Linked DNA regions of Oryzias latipes. The protein of the gene in region 1 purifies or fractionates together with the protein of each later gene. This does not show direct contact. Links are inferred from orthologs where the notes say so. Each region holds a gene or a part of one and is shown on either strand. Other genes may lie near its edges. The genes, in order: mad2l1bp, lbr and mad1l1.

The links.
Region 2: the proteins of mad2l1bp (region 1) and lbr purify together in Homo sapiens (co-immunoprecipitation; 3 studies listed by BioGRID and IntAct, counting the BioPlex papers as one, with this or other methods). This does not show direct contact. The link is inferred for Oryzias latipes from reciprocal best matches to the Homo sapiens genes MAD2L1BP and LBR.
Region 3: the proteins of mad2l1bp (region 1) and mad1l1 purify together in Homo sapiens (co-immunoprecipitation; 4 studies listed by BioGRID and IntAct, with this or other methods). This does not show direct contact. The link is inferred for Oryzias latipes from reciprocal best matches to the Homo sapiens genes MAD2L1BP and MAD1L1.

The regions. Positions count from the first base shown.
Region 1 is NC_019873.2:27,030,751-27,036,385, reverse strand, and holds mad2l1bp (MAD2L1-binding protein), read left to right. Parts: upstream 1-2,058; 5' UTR 2,059-2,106; coding exon 2,107-2,407; intron 2,408-2,626; coding exon 2,627-2,898; intron 2,899-2,965; coding exon 2,966-3,487; 3' UTR 3,488-3,917; downstream 3,918-5,635. Other genes in the region: uncharacterized protein LOC101165914, read right to left, coding at 819-935, 1,049-1,159, 1,247-1,310, 1,513-1,592; epoxide hydrolase 1, read right to left, coding at 3,932-4,133, 4,221-4,346, 5,399-5,507, 5,594-5,635. UniProt on the Homo sapiens protein: May function to silence the spindle checkpoint and allow mitosis to proceed through anaphase by binding MAD2L1 after it has become dissociated from the MAD2L1-CDC20 complex.
Region 2 is NC_019882.2:329,281-334,911, reverse strand, and holds part of lbr (lamin-B receptor), read left to right. Parts: intron 1-1,574; coding exon 1,575-1,629; intron 1,630-1,871; coding exon 1,872-2,066; intron 2,067-5,631. UniProt on the Homo sapiens protein: Catalyzes the reduction of the C14-unsaturated bond of lanosterol, as part of the metabolic pathway leading to cholesterol biosynthesis.
Region 3 is NC_019859.2:22,958,420-22,964,050, reverse strand, and holds part of mad1l1 (mitotic spindle assembly checkpoint protein MAD1), read right to left. Parts: intron 5,606-5,631; coding exon 5,481-5,605; intron 5,405-5,480; coding exon 5,323-5,404; intron 5,121-5,322; coding exon 4,990-5,120; intron 3,986-4,989; coding exon 3,871-3,985; intron 1,862-3,870; coding exon 1,800-1,861; intron 1-1,799. UniProt on the Homo sapiens protein: Component of the spindle-assembly checkpoint that prevents the onset of anaphase until all chromosomes are properly aligned at the metaphase plate.

The DNA.
Region 1 (5,635 bases):
TGTTCACAACACTATGGAAAGCAATATCTTTAAAAAAAATGTCTACTAGTGGTTAATATTTTGGGTTTTTTTCAGTGTTGCTATAGAAACACAAGCAAATGCTGCTGATTAACAAATGGGCTGATCTGAAGTGGAGTTACTTAAGCGTGAAAGCAATTTTCCAGTGTGAGCCGGCTGCCTTCTTTAAATCACAAATCAAAAGACAGTCAGCATTTAGAGTCATATAGAATTATCCAGAAGCTTGAACAGCAGCTCCGCTCATGACCTTGTATACGTTTCCAGAAAGACAAGCAGAAACTTCTTCCCACATTTTAAAACTTTCCATCGAAGAATAAGGTGAAGGGCGAAATGCTTCAGTGGGCACGTCAAATTTTCTGATTAGTAAAAAAGAGACAAGCCAGTCTATTGAAGCTGCATCGCCTAAAAAGGTTCTGTGATGTTCTGCAAAGCTGCAGAAATCTGAAACGCTGTGGTGCTCGTAGCGGTTACTGCCCTCACACTCATGGCATTTTCCTGCAGACATCATCAAAAGGCCCTGACTAATAATGGATCAAAAAAACACGTATAAAAAGGGAAACCCTTTAAAAATATAAAGGATGAACAAGAAATTAAGTAGATGTAAGAAGCATGAGGAAGAAGCCCACTAACTGTTAATATTCATTAGTTTTTTTAAGTAAAAACTAAATTATTTAATTTAAAACTTGATGTTCTCAAATTATATACATTCATCTTATTATTGCTTAATACCATATATATTTAAACATGAACACATTGCACAGGGCAGGCCACAAAGTACTGAAAATACTGGAAAAACTCACTTTCAGACCCATCATAGTGTGGGATTTCCCTGAGCCTGTTTGCCCATAAGCAAACATGCAGGCGTTGAACCCTTCAAATGCAGCTTTCAACACACCACAACCCAATTCCTGGAAAATCTGAGCAAAACAAAATGCATCAAGAACAAATATGCTGCAAGCACAAACTTTGGTAAAAAATAAAATTAAAATAAAGATCAGAAGATCTTCCATCATATAGAATAAACATGTACCTTCTGCTGGGATGCAAACGTGGAGCTTTCTGTGTCCATGGAGTCAAAAGCAAAGTCAAATGAGAATGTTTTCTCTCTGTCTTTCACCTTTTCCCCTCGCACAGGTGAAGACTAACATAAAAACAGACAAAAACTCAGATCATTGTTGACCTTGTTCACTTCTACAGACTGTTCTCGCATCATTTTGTGATTCCATACCTTCTGAATGGATATTGTGTTCCCCCTAATGTGAACCGTTTTCTTGGATGATAATTGCTGTTCCCTGTGTAAAAAGCCAAAAACAATCAACTAAACATTTTTAAGAACATCAACAACAACCACAGTTGGGTTAAAAAGCTTTTTTTTGACAAAGTTATCATTAGAAGAGCTCAAAAAATATATATTCAAAAACAAAATGTTAAAAAACAAATAATCATCATGAGCAAGAAGAAGTAGTGCCAATTTTTAAGCAAACTTAAATCTACCTTTTATTCAAAGGGCGGACTCGAACAGCCACGCGCACGGAAGACATGATAAAATAAAACCACTCAAAGGAATGAAACATTCAGGTCGTCACCCTTGTCTTTCTGTTTTCTTCAAGGTAATGAATTAATCTTCTTCCACGTGAACGTCGACTAATTATCACACCTGAGGAAGAAAGGCTACTTTTACTGGATGCACTACACAAATCAGGCACTAGGGGGTGCACTGAGCATTGTTTAGTGTGGCATTTGCAGTGTGATTTCCCGACTTAAAAATCTGTCATTAGCAAAAGAAATGTTATAAAATATGTGGTACTTTAGTTTATAAAATATTGTTCTGAATGGTATGATTTTTCTGTAGTTTTGTTTTGGTGGTCAAAGTATGATGTGTTTACATGTTAGAGTTAATGTCTTACAGTATGCCAGTCAAACATACAATACAAAATCCTATGATGATTATTATTTATATTATTCGTTTGTAAACAAGACAGAAAACATTTTAAACTATTTTTTTCCGAAAAATTTGAACGCACCACTTCAACCATTTCCCATGGTGCAGTTGGGTAGAGCCGAGCAGGCGCCGACTTTCAAAAAAACATGGCGGAACCTTGTTTGGTGCTAAAAACGACTCTAGATCCCGAAGTCTCCGAAAATCAATCCGCCGCAAACAGCGAAGACAGCAGGGTGAAGCGGCGACTGTCTTTTCCCTCCGAAAAAGAAATTAGTTCACGAGAAGAACCGAGTTTAACGTACTTAGACCTGAGTTTACAATGTCTTTCTGACGATTCAAACTCTCCTCAACCGACTGACGAGAAGCTGTCAGCGACGGTCCCAAACGGAACCGATGTCTCTTCTGAACAGCGCGAAGAGGACAAAGAAAACACAGAAATTCATCAAGGTAACAATGTCGAAAGAGTTTAGAAGAATTTTAAAAGGAAACACGTTTATCTCATTCTGACTGTTATGTGGTCTTCCTGCTAAATAATTAGCATAATTTGGCTTTAAAATAAACCTTTATATTTTAGCCATCGATTTCTTTACATAAATCTATATGTCAATTAGTTAATATGTCTACCAGGTTACTGTGATGTTGGCAACAGATATGGACTGTTTACAGAAGAGCAACAGGAAGAGGAGGAGGCCACTTCCTGTCAGGAGTCTGCCAGTGAACGCCACTCAAACACGCAGGACAGGGATGCTGAGGTGGTGAGGAGAGCAAAGGAAGAAGGCTGCGTGAGCGTGATCTTCCCCGGCCCCGTGACCCAAGATGGCAGCTACCGTTTTGTCAGCGAGATCCTCAAATGCGTTCTCTACCAGCGGCAGCAGCTCCCCATGACGTACGAGCAGCTCGTGTTCTCCCAGAAGCGGCAGCAGCAGCGAGACGTGGAGGTGAGAAGCACATTTCCAGCCGTCGGTGGCTCTTATAGAAAATTCAAATTGTGGTGTTTCTTTTCAGGATAAAGATGTGGTGAGACCAAGGAAGGTCCACTCCGCAGACGTGGATTACAAGTGTCAGCAGACCCTTCAGGAGCTGGAGGAGGTGCTCCACCAGCTGGAAGTGCTGTTCTCCCTCAGCAGAGTCCCGCGCGTCTTACTGATGATGGGCGGTTCCCTCGTCCTGCCGAAGGAGCTCTACGAGATCAACATGGAGGACCTGCTGCTGGTCGGCGGGGAGCAGGGTCTGCGAGCGTCCTCCTGCCTGAGGCTCCTCTTCCGCACGCTCTTCGTCGCCGACCTCCTGTCCGACTCCAGACCCGTTCGCTTGATGCCCACCACCGTTTTAGCCCTGGCTCACAGGGATTGCGGCGTGGACTGGTTTCGCCCCAAATTACAATTCAAGATTCCCACCCGGGTCAAAAACCAGATCATCGCTTTGGCCACAGATCCCAACGTCTGTGAGAAGCAGAGGGAAAAGGCCGACTGGCAGGATTATGTTTGGTTCCAGGCACCTGTGACTATTAAGGGCTTCAGCAACTAACACTAAAAGGGATTTGGATCATCAGAATGTGTGTCTGTGTGGAATATAAACGAGTGGATGTTTATTTTAGTAAAATGGTTGTTTTTTTTCGCATTAAGATCATGACATTCATGTGCATGTGTGTTGATTATTATTTTTACCTTTGGCATACAAAAGAATGTTTTGTCTTTGTGTGGGGAACAGAATATGCAGGTATTTCCAGAAAACACCAGACATCGCCGCTTGTGCAATACATTTTAATGAACAAGACTTGAACGGTTTGACAAAAGTCGTTGCTTTTGTTATTCATATCTCGGGACACAGTTAACATCCGTTATTCACTGAAAATGATTTTTAACTAGCATCAAGGAGAGCGAACCAGGTGCAGAGAAGATTAAAGCATATTTGTGTGAAGAATGATGAATTACAATTAAAACCAAAAGCATCATGACTCCTGCTCTGCATTTACAGCTTCTCCACTTTCTTCACAAACTGGATGATGTCTTTAGCGAGCAGCTGGGGCTCTTCGAAGGCGGCAAAGTGACCGCCGCTCGGCATGAGCGTGTAGGACTGGATGTTCCGATATCTGATCTGAGCCCAGGATTTGGGACAGTGCATCAGCTCGTTGGGAAACGCCGCCACACCGGTGGGCACGAAAATCCCGGTTCTACAACACAGAATAACGAGGATCAACAGCTTTGAAAAAGAATGTCAGGATTGGAGAGTAAAAGTTTGTGTGTGTGTGTTTGCATACAGGCCATCGATTCTGCTGTTGGGGTCGCTCTTGAAGTTCTCCTTGTAGAAGCGCATGGAGGAAACGATTGAGCCGGTGGTCCAGTAGATCATGACGTTGGTCAGAAGGTCATCCAAGCTGTACTTCCTGTAAAAAAGGATGTTCACTGAAAAATTAACCCCAGTAAATGAGCCTTTACACGTGAAGCCTGAGCTACTGCAACCCGCCCCCCAATTCTCCCCTTGCCACACTGGTTAGAGAAGCACACGACAAATTCATTAAAAAAAAGAAATTAACTGCAGCTTTTCTATTGGTTTTATCTCCATGGCAACCACTTGAAATTCTGGTTGTCTGTCATTGTTGGAAGAATCTGCAAAAAGCAATCTTTTTTTGATTTCCTTAACAGGTTTTTTGTTAACCCCACCCACTTTCCTAATATGTTCGTGTCGTATGTCCTGTCGCCTAGCAACCGTGAGTCCCGCACAGGAGAGGAGAAGAGAGGAGGCATGGAGTTTAAAAAAATTCCCTGCTTATTTGATCCAACTTTTAATCTTGGAGGTGTAATTATTAAAAAGGTGTAATTATCTCCAACTCTGGGTCCCGCTTCACGGTCCGCCATTGTTGTCAGGACAGGTCCAAGTTGGGCCGCAATGCATCTTGGGATATATGCAGTGTAGAAGGACACACCAGACCAATCCTTAAAATCGTGAAAGAGAAGGACGTACTCGGCTGCATTTGAAGGAGTCGCTGAATTCGGACAGCGCTTGTCGCTGTGACGTAAGCCGCCCACAAAGAACGCAGCCCTCCAATGTGGACACAGCCATTGCTCTGTTCAGCTTGAGGATTCACATTTTAAAACTTCACAACGTTCCAGTAAAAAAATGTGCAAGCAACGGGAACGCCAATTTTGCAAGTTGGCCACACTAACCCCATTCAAAATGTAAAACTTCTAAAAATCCAACATTAATTTACAAGTAGCTTCCCAACGATGCTTGATGAGGTGATGGATAGAAATCCCTCAGGAGTTTAGATTTCTTGTTGACTTTTTTTTTTGGGGGGGGGGGGGGGGGGGGGTCAGGTGATTTCAAGATGGTGGCCCCTTCCTGAGGTCAAAGGTCAATAAAACGTTAAATCAGGTGGCGTATGTGTGAAACATGGGGAGAGGTTGCCATAGAAACGGAAGCATTTTTTTTTTTTACCTCTCCAGTCCCCCGTCGGCCAGATCTCTGTTTTTGTAATCGGTCCAGGTGGAGAACTTCTCCAAAATGTAGGCCGCCAGCCCGACAGGAGAGTCGTTGACCCCACAGCCTGAGGATGAAATCGTTTTGAGAGGGGATCTCGGAGGACAAGCGTGACCAGCACTCTGTCCCCGGTCTCCGGGCGTGGCCTCTCACCTGCGGTGTCGGGTTTGGTGGCCTGAATGTGCATGTAGCCAG
Region 2 (5,631 bases), on another chromosome or scaffold:
AATAACCAGAAAATGGCTTAAACCTGAACAACCAACGACAGAGGACTGGATTGATGTGGTACAAAGAATTTACATAATGGAAAGAATCTCACACTCTTTACAAATACGGCTGGATGCTTTTTACGCTACTTCAATTCAATTCAATTCAATTTATTTGTATAGCCCAAAATCACAACAACAGTCGTCTCGATGGGCTTCGAAGTAAAACATGAAATCAAAAGGATCACGAATACAAAGAGTTCAATAGAAAAATACTCAAATGAACTAACAAACTGACTAAGCTATACTGGCATCCCTGCCCTTAGACCCCCTACTTGGTCTATATGGACAGAATATAAGTCGGTAAGATCAGATTTCATCTGAAATCATGTCATATCATTTATGTTTTGAAACTCCCTGCTTCCTCACATGTTCCTTTTTTATTTATTATTATTTTGTTTTTTTTGTTTTTCAATTAAAAAACTGAGAAAGCATGAACATTGTGACACGTCAAAACAATGTACAATTTATCCTGTGCTTTTTCAATAAAAAATAAATTTGAAAAAAAAAAAAATCTCCCACACATACCGCTCATGTACCCCCCCCCCCCCCCCCTTCCCATCAAACACAAAGCTTTAAGTCTGCGCTCCGCCGGTCCACTTCACTAATTAAGTGCGGGAGCGACTACACTAATTTTCTATCTTGCTTGTTACTTTTTCTGTTAAAGTCACTTCCCTCAGTTTATACTGGATCATCGCGGATTAGTCATTAGTTGGGAAATAAAATGAAAAAAGCAAAATAACGAATAGCAGTTATATAAGAACGAAAAATGTAAAAATACCCCCCCCCCCCCCCCCCCCCCCACGATGTCATCGTCCATCCCGATGGTTGACAGCAAACATCGTCAACGGCCAAATTAGGGGACATCGCCCAACCCTAGTTCCAGTCCATCTCCAACATTTCCAGAAGTTGACTGAGGTCTTGCAGCTGGACGCAGGCCATATGCCTGAGCCCAGCGCAACCTGCAACGCTACCAAAAAAAGGGTAGCAGCTGTTTTTGTTTTTTGTTTTCATCTTGACGTTCATTCAACCAGGAAGTTTATTTTTCTATATCCACATGATTTCCTCTGTGGTGTCAGCAGTTGAAGAAATTCTGGGATGTCCTTTAGAGTTTGTAGATCAGCTGATGTTGGTGTGAAAACGGAATGACAACAGTGAAAGAACTGCACGCTTTACTGGAGGCTTTTCAGACAGAACCGCTTCAGTGCCTCATTTTCCTCACATTTGGATCATTAGACAGAATCTTTAGAACTTTTTCTAACTTTGTCCAGGGCATTCAGGCCAATCCTGATGTGATGTTTGTTTCTGTGTCCGCTTGAGTTCCTCATCAAAGTTCTTGAGTTTTTTGGTTTCCCCCGATCTGGCCCCAGGCCCCACCCCACCCTCCCACGACTTCCTGTTTTACCTCGTCTCACCTGACTCGGGGTGTTGCCTCGGTTCTCTGGTTCCGTGAGTGGTTGATGGGTTCGAATCGGTTTGGGACCATAGAGGATGTGAAACTTTACCAGCGTTTTCTCCGGTTTGTGTCTCTGCAGCTGAGTGAAGGCGTGCCGCTGCGGTCCGGACAGAGGCTGAAGTACAGAACCAACGGTACGTCTGACGGCAGCGACTGCAGTTTATGGGGCGGGGCCAGCTGTCATGAACGTTTTCAGACGGACAACGATGGCAGAGGTCCAGACGGGGTGGTTTGTCGGTTCTGTATCAGAACCTCCTGGCGCATCAGAACCTCCTGGCGCATCAGAACCTCCTGGCGCATCAGAACCTCCTGGTGCATCAGAACCTCCATGTATGGTCCCGTCTCCCTGAGCAGTGAATGATTCTGTGTCCTGCAGGCTTCTTCGCCACCGCCGCCTCAGCTGCAGCGGTGGCGGCAGCAGTGTACCTGGGCGCTGACCTCACCTACATCCACAGCCACTTTCTGCAGCTGGCCGCCGCCTCCTTCCTGTTGTCCGTGCTGCTGGGCCTCTTCCTGTACGTGCGTTCTGGCCATGCTGCCCCTGAGGAGCTGGCGGTGGGGGGAAACTCAGGTGAGTGAGCTTTGGCTCGGTGAGAAGATGATGATCTGGACGTGGGGGTTAGGGGTCAAGGCCCTCGCCGAACACTCGGTGCTGAGGAAATCTGATGGTACGATGGGTTGGAGTTCGTGAAGATTGATTTGTTTGACCGTCTGCATACTGCAGTGATGAAAGTCTTCCGGGAATTCCCGGAAATCCGGGTTTTTGAGCAAACCGAACGTACTTTCCGGGAAATAAAGACCTGATCTCTACGGACAAATCGCTTTCCGGATTAGAAAATGGTCTGAAATCAGCTAATTTTAGCTTTATTTTCTATATTTCTCCGCAGATCGCTTCCTCTATGGTCGTGGCCATCTTTCGTCTTCCCGGCCTAATTGACCAATGACGGGACGTTTTAGTTGCTTTCGGATGCGTCGACGGGTCTGATTGGCTCTGTCTGCACCACGTGGTCAGCGTGACTTGCTTCCCTAGAGACCAAAACTGGCGGACCCACGCTAAACTTTCACAAACACATCTGAAGAGTTTGCGATCAAATTTGTGTTAAAATAATGGCAGGCATCGTCATTATTGAGCGTGGTCACGACCTCAGTTGTGAGAAGACGATAAAAAACAAATTGAAGTGGTCTTGGCTGGAAAAAAAAGATTTTTAAGGTAGTGTAGGTCAAATACTTTTTTGTGTAAAATAATCTCAAAACCACATTTTGAAATAATTTCAATTTTAGTTTTGAGTTTCAGTTTTTATTTTGAATACATTTCTCTATCTAATTTATTTGTATTTCCTAATTACCATGATTTAGTTCAGTATAGTTAACATTAATTATAAGTATTTGATGGTTTGGACCCGCACTCCCTTAAAAAATAATGTTTACAATGTTTAGTTTAGTTTGTATGTTTGTTTTGATATTTCCCAGATTACTTAGTATTGGTGTTAAAGAATTGATGTATTATGTTATAGAATTATAGTTTAAAGCAGATCCCATATTTTGATGTAATTATAGTTTGAGAAAACAGTGCAAGTGGATGTTGTACATCAGTCATTTCTAAAGCAGAAATAATGTATAAATAACTGAGGTATTTTCATAGAATATCATAGTTACTGGTGTTCTTTTTGCCATTTGGGGCTTTGATGTTACTATATTTTAGCAATTGTATGTTTTGCAGCTTTAAGGAAAAGCGTAGATTGTAGGATTGTGTTACTTTGAGCAATTTTCCAAATTCTTTTTTAGGACCAGCAAGTCCTTAATGGAGAGTCAAACTAGGGGTTTGAATGACAAATCATGATGCTCCAATTAGTCTTAGTTTCTTGATAAAGAAGTGAATAACTAGCTGCCAGAATGCACCAGAATGCATCTAAGACCACGTATTTTTCCAAAATTTCGCTCTGTGCCCGCCATATCGCTCAAAGAAAAGTTCAGGGATTTTTTCCTTGCCTGACTTTCATCACTGATACTGGAGTGCGTGCAGAAACAGAAGCACGTGATCTGGACGCTGGATAGTCACTGCGGTCCGCTCTCATGTCAATAGAGACTGTAGGTGATGACGGCGTCTGCAAAGGCTGAATCTGTCCCCGCAGAACGCCGTTCTCCATTACAGTTTCATACATGTACTCTCACGTGTCATCTGTCTGTTTACATACAGTGGTGGACAAATAGTTGGTCCCCCTCAGTTGAAGATAGAAAGTCCACAATGTTCACTGAAATGACGTGAAACATTCCAAAGTAACAATAAATTAAAATTTATTGAAAATTAAATAATCAAAATTAGCCATTACTTTTGAGTTGTTGATTAACAGAATTATTTAAAACAAACAAACAAATGAAATAGGGCTGGACAAAAACGATGGTACCCATAGCTTTATATTTTGTTGCACAACCTTTTAAGAGATGTGATGAGATAAGATAAAACTTGTCATTGTACAGTCACACTTGGTACAACAGTACAATGAAATTGCAAACGGTCCCACATAGGTGCAAAGAAAGAGAAGAAAACAACATAAAAAAATTGCAACAATTATCTTACATACAAATAAAACTATCTATCATGTAACTGATCATTTTCTTGTATCATTTAACATCTCCATCACTTTATCTGTCACTAAACCCTCCCGCCTCATCTCTTTTCATAATGTCAAAAACATCAATGTGAACGCACTTTCCTCACTCATACGTGATATTCCAATCCCTAACACACCAAACCCTGATGAACTCGTCTCCTCTTACAACAACCTTCTTTCTGATTCTCTTAACCAGCTCGCCCTGTCTCCTTCTCCAAATCTGCCCCCTGGTTCACCCCAGAGCTCCGTCACATGAAAGCCAAAGGTCGCCAGCTAGAGCGACTCTATAAAAGAACTGGCTTAACTGTTCACAAAGAAATCTATAAATCACATCTCACACAGTATAAGGACCTGGTTTCTACCACAAAAACAAACTATTTTTCTGAACTCGTCTCCACAAACAAAGGCAACTCAAAAACTCTCTTTTCCCTGATGAACACTATCTTCAACCCCCCTGACTCTCTCCCTCCCCATTTCTTTTCCACTGAAACCTGTAACTCCCTCATGTCATTTTTTGACCAGAAAATTCATGTCATCCACCAACAGCTTAGCTCTTCTCTCTTCCCTCCCATCCCTGACTCTTTTCCCCTCAATCATATGTTTTCCTCCTTTCAACTGCCTGCCTGACCACGAGGACATTTCCTCTGTCATCCTTAAATCCAAACCGACCACCTGTTCTCTTGATCCCCTCCCAACATCTTTAGTTATAGCCTGCCTCCCATCTCTCCTTCCGCTCATTACTGCCATTATTCACTGGTCACTCTCATCTGGTACTGTCCCATCACTTTTTAAACCCATCCTGAAAACCCGGTTCAGATCCCAACTTATTCAATAATCTCCGTCCAATTTCCAACCTTCCCTTCATTTCCAAAATTCTAGAGAAAATAGTCGCCTCTCAACTCTATGATCATCTGAAACAATAATCTTCTGGAACCTTTTCAGTATGGTTTCAGCACTGAGGCTGCTCTCCTGAATATCACCAATGATCTTTTCATTGCAGCTGATTCTGGGCTCCTCACCATCCTCATCCTCCTTGACCTGAGTGCAGCCTTTGATACCATTTCTCACTCCATCCTCCTCCAAAGGCTCTCCTCCCCCTGCATCACCTCCACCCCCCTCCGTTGGTTTCAATCCTACCTCTCTGACCGAACCCAATTCATCCAGCTTAAATCATTTAAATCTCAGCCTTCCTCTGTCTCTTCTGGTGTCCCCCAAGGTTCTGTCCTTGGTCCCCTTCTTTTCATTACTTATCTTCTTCCCCTTGGCAATATCTTCCGTAAATTTAATGTTAATTTTCACTGTTTTGCGGATGACACCCAGCTCTATGTATCCACTAAACCTGACTCCTCTCTTCCACCCTCCTCCCTCCACTCATGTCTATCTGAAATCAAAAACTGGTTCACCTTAAACCTTCTCAAACTCAATAGTGATAAACCGAGCTACTTCTCGTTGGTTCCAAATCCACCCTCTCCAAAGCCACAAGTCTTACTCTTTCCATTGATTCATCTTCTGTCTCCCCCTCCT
Region 3 (5,631 bases), on another chromosome or scaffold:
TCTCAAGGGCTTAGTTAAAAAAAATATATATCTTTTTTCTAAAGAAAACTAAAAAAACAAAAAAGATTTTTTTTTCAGTTTATTAAAATTAAACCAATTTTTTTCCACTAATGTGGATTCATGAAATCCAGAATTTAATTTACAGTAAACTGTTTTTATAGAGTTTTTAGGTTTTAGAAATCATACTTATTTTAAAAGTTCCAATGATCAATTACCTAGCTATGTTAAAATTGTTTTTTATTACCAAATAACAATACTTTTAAATGGAAATTTAAAAAAATACATTCATATTGAATTTATTCCTGAATCAAAGTCCTATTAGATGATAATTTAGAATGTAACATTTTACTCCACCCTTCTGCAGTCTGAGCTCTAACCTGAAACCTTCTAAAATCTCTGTCAAACAGAGGAGAAGATAGTCTTCCCTTTCTACGTTGCAGTTCATCGTTCCCGGTTTAGCTTGTTCTTTTAGAGTGATTATGCTACTTTTTTTTTTTTAAACAGCGCACCCTGTTCTGTGTCCTGATTGGCTGGAGACCTTGTCAATCAATCTCCTCCGTGCCGTGTCTCCGGTACAGAAATGCAGAGCTCTTCAGATCTACAGAAATCTTTGATCGCGATCAGATCTTTGTTTGTCTAGACTTGATTTCTATGAAAGTTTGAAATTTAAAACAAGAGAAAAAAGGGTGAAAATGTTCATGCCTGTCTGAGAAAAGGGTATTTAGGCAGTGAGGAGTTTTACTGCCATAACACATCTGTAATCAGACTCAGTGGATTTCACCGATCACGGTTATTTTTAGAACATAACTCCTGCAATACATGATGGAACTCTGTACTGGTGAAAAGGTAACGCAGATATATGAGTAGCTGCAGCAGAAGACATAGACATTTGCTTTTTTCATTATTACTGGATGAGAAACAGACGTGCAGGACACAGCTGCTCAGCTTTAGAGCAACGTGTGAGGCGTGTGAGGAGCTGCAGCCCTCAACAGCTGCAGAAAATGACGGGAGAGGATCCACTATTGTTTTTTTCGTTTTAATGTATCAGCATATTTTTTCCTGACTTTTTGTCACAGAAAGTTTTTCGGTCATTTGTTTTATTTCATAAATAGTGTTATTTATTTAATTATAAGCATATTAGGGCTTTACAATAAAAGAAAGATAAAAGAAGCTTAAAGAAAAAGAGTTGTTGTGGCCCTCACAAGAAAAAGTTTGGGGACTCTGCTCTAGCATCCATGTGGTGTTGGAAGATTTGTTGTTTTTCATTCTTCCTACCATTCAAACACAACATTTCTCTAAGTTTTACACAAGGTACATCAAGCCATTGGTGCAATTGGCTCTAAATTGAGAACAAAAGTTTGAAAATATAATTTGAATCCAGATGTTTTCATCCAGATTCCATGTTATTTCTTTCTCACTCCACGCATCTGCTCCTGGTCTGGCCATTCTACCCAATTTTAGAACCCTATGTGGCCCACGAGTCAAAATAATTGCCCACCCCTGTTCTAAAGTGTCACCATTGAAACAAGACTCAATCCTCTACTGCGTGTTAAATTCAGTGGCTGTCCTGTTCCAATCCAAAGCTCCAATCCTCCTCATATCCAGCATGTGTGAGCTCTGTGCCTGTTGAAATGTTGAATTTTGGTACCTGGGTGACATTACAAACTGACTAAAGAGAGAAAGTGCTCTTTATCTATTTTTACCCCCATGAATCAGAAAGATCGCAGTGCCATCTGGTGGTCATACTGTGCATTTCATTTGACATAAAAAAAAAGGTTTGGTTTCAGGCAGTGACTGACCTTATGTTGAGTCCAGTTGATTGCCCAAGGTTCTCCCAAGCTTGGAGCTTTTCAACCAACCTCTGAAAGGGAAAACAGAATAATAATTAAGCCTAGTTACTGTTGAATTTAGGATTTAATGAGAATTAGGCCTAATAAATAAAAAAAGAATTATTAAAACACAGCAACAACAACAAAAAAGATCTTTACAACATTTTTTTACAGCTCATAACCTTTATTGTCTCTTTCTTGTTTTGTTATTGTCATCCAAAAAAGGATTTCCTTGTTTTAATCTTATCATTAAAGGAGTACTAAATACTTGTAATTATTTTTTTAGCCCAGGCTTTTCGTAGACCAAAATACATTGAAGAGCCATGTAACAAAAGATTGTTACAGTAAAAATACCACAGATGCTAAAATCCAAAAAAACATTTCATGTTTATGAAAAATAAGTCTATGATCAGGGTTCTTACATGTTTCCTCAAGTTAAAATCTAAGACCAATTTCTCAGCCTATTTCCCAGCAAGAAGAATGAAATTTTAGAGCAATAATTTCTTAACCAAACCAAACTACAGTACTTCTGAATGTGAAATAAGAATCAATCCACATTTGCAGCAGTGAAATGATTTTTGTACCACTCCAAGAATTAAATAAACAATAAGTTAAAAAGTAACAAATAAACACCATTCACAAAGTCAACTTCTTAGCCCTGCAGTCTTGGTTGGAATATCTTCATCAACTAAGCCGATTCTGCCAACTTCTCCTTTTGACCTTCCTCAGAGGGTTGGACCCTTGATATTAGGTTAGTCTCCTTGCTTCCTGCCTTTTCCTCAGCCTCCTCCACCTGCCTGTCTGCATCCCTGACCAGACCCTCAGACACCTCTTGCAGGCATCCTCATTTTAGCTTTGGCTCCTCCATTCCCTTCCTCTTAGGAGGTTGGGCTTCTGCCTTTCTAAGTCCAAATGAACTCCATATCTGGTTCTGGCTGCTGCTAAGCTTACCAGTAACCGTTTTAGTGCCCTGGTTAAGGCTAAATTTAACCCCTCAACCTTTTCTAGATGTAATCACACACCTGCCTCTGTGTGACCACAGTGTCCCCCATGCCTGCTTTGTCTGATAGGGCGGAGCCATCTGTTTGTGACTGAGGCGGAGCCAGAATTTTGTGATGGGGCGGAGCATTTAATGTGTGAAGGCGGAGCAAACCTTTTGTGACAGGGGCATAGCAAGCAAAGCGTAACGTAGCCAGCATTTTTGTGGTGTGGGCGGAGCCAACTAATAGTGACAAAGGCAGAGTTTTTCTATTTGCGATGGGGCGGAGCCTGCACGTTTTGACGAAGGTGGAGCCAACTATTTGTGTGGGAGGCGGAGCCAGCCTTTTGTGAGGGAGGCAGAGCTATCGACCTATGACAGCGGCAGAGCGAGCATTTTGTGACAGAGGTGGAGGTAGCATCATGTGACGGCGCGTAGCCTTCAATGTGCAGGAAGCCTTTCGTAACAGGGGCGGAGCCGGCAATGTGTGACATGTGTCACATATTTGTGTGATGTAGCAGATGTTGTTCCTATTATTTACCTTTTCATTATAACTTAATTTTCTTCTTTTTAGTTAAACTGTAGAGCTCTAAAGAACCAAAACCCAGAAGAAGGATCACCGAAGTACCAACAGCTTCATGTGGTTTATGGAGGCTTCCTGCTTTTGTGACAAACTCAAAGGGTTTGAAAGTGTCTGCAGGTCGTCTGCATCCACTGATGCACACAAAAAAATGTTGCTCCTCGTTTCATTTGGGTTCTGAGTTTGTGTTTGGAATGCGGCTCTATCCTTTTCTTGTGCAGACAAAAATAAAAATATGATAAAAAATGTTCGCTATTAGAAAACCTGCTAAAAACAAAAGGTACAATTAACATTAAGGGAAATGAAAACAATCAAAAGCCCAAACTACAAAAGCATAATATAAACTTTCTCCGATATACTGGATTTATCTCCATCACTTACTTTTGATTTGCGGTGGCAAAACTTTGTGTTTGAGCTAAACTGTGCATGTTGTGTTGCATAGTTGTGTCCTTATCGGCACTATTTGTGTTGTTATATCACACCTGTTTTTCAAGTTCCACATTGACGAGCTCTTCTTTGGTTTTCTCCATCCTTTCCAGTTTTTTACGAAGTCCTTCTGCTTCTTCTTTCAACAGGTTGTAATTCTCTCTGCTCTCTCTGACAAAATAGAAACACAGCAGAACCACACAGTCACTCTAAGCTTAGGGTTCAGCAATCATCAATCTGTTACTGGATATTTCAAGAATGAAAAAACTTTTTTATAGATCAAACTGATTTGATAAATGGATAACATTTTTGCTCCTTTTCTTCCACAGCAACTTAGCAGTGTTTTCCACAGTAAACCAAAATGTTAACATAATTAAAAATCTTCAGAAAGGAATCAAGTTTGAAGTTAAAAGAGAGAAATTCAAACAGCTGAAAATCCAGTTTGTTATGTTATTCTATTTACACATCTAACTTAAATATTTTTGGGTGAATTAGCAATATTAAAAACATATTTTAAAAATACTTATTAATGAAACTATGTTGACAGAATCCACAAATAAGTGAATTCGGAAAAGCATCTGTAATCTGCCCAGCAACATGCAAACACAAAGACATGATAGCGGTAAATCAGCAGATTGTTGTTCTCCCTTCATAATGGTATTTGGTGGAATTTTCTGATAAAATAAAGTTAGATGAAAATATTAACAAAAACAAAAAAAAAACTAAAACTGATTATTAAAATCCAGTCAATGAAAACTAGATTTTCTCACATCAGTTATCATGGCAATTGACAGTCAGCATTGTCATTAGCTTCTGTGACTGTTGCAGCCATTTTCACACTGAAACATTGTGTTGACACTTCCACAGGAGAATGGCATTCATTGTAGAAACTGGTTATTTTAGCTGCGATATCCAAGCTTAAAATAAAAGCTGAATCTTTTTGTCCTGCTGAGAAATAATCCCAAACCAAAAAACCCAGGGGAATTATTGTTTGTTGAGAGGTTGTCTTCATTATTATTCATTAGTAATCCAGGCTCATGTCTATTTTGTTAATTTTTTTTTCATAAAACATTGCTATATCTGCAAAAAAAGAAAAGAAAAAAGAGCACAATAAAATAAAATAAAGAAATGATGAATTAAACATCTACAAATCATAAGCGTATAAATTTTTCCACCTCAGAAAAGAATTTTCTTCTCGAAGGCGCTTCAACTCTTTTTCCAGATCTGTAACTTTCGCCGCCTCCGACTTGATAGTCTTCACGATTGCCATGTCTTGTTCCTGCAGAATAAGACGCCTCTCCAGCTCCTGTAAGATCAGACGGAGGGAAATCCAAAAAGAAAAGCTCCTTTAACCTTCTACCAAAGCATGCAGTACTTTCATTTCATCATAAACTGATTTAGATTCATTCAAATGATACGATTTAAAATAACAAACAGCATTTATTGCATCTCCAGACTTGAAAAATGTAATATTAATCTTTACGACAAATTTTTTAAGTGATTGCTACCTTTATTTTTATAATGTGCTCTGAGCATAAAGACTGGGCAGCTTGGAGAGTTTGACATAGTTGTGAGATTTCCTGATATTTCCTGAAAAAAAAAACACAATAACACATCTTATTAATCTAACAAAAAGAAGAAAACCATCATAAATGTTGGGATTTACCTGCGCTGCAGATCCAGCTGTTCCTGTAGCTCCTGTTTTTCCAAGGTTTGGGCTGAGAACACCAAGTCTTGGTTTTGAATTTTCTGCCTCAACTCTCTGAGCTCATCTTTCAAAGAAGTTATGGTCTGGAAACAGATTGCAAGAAGGACTG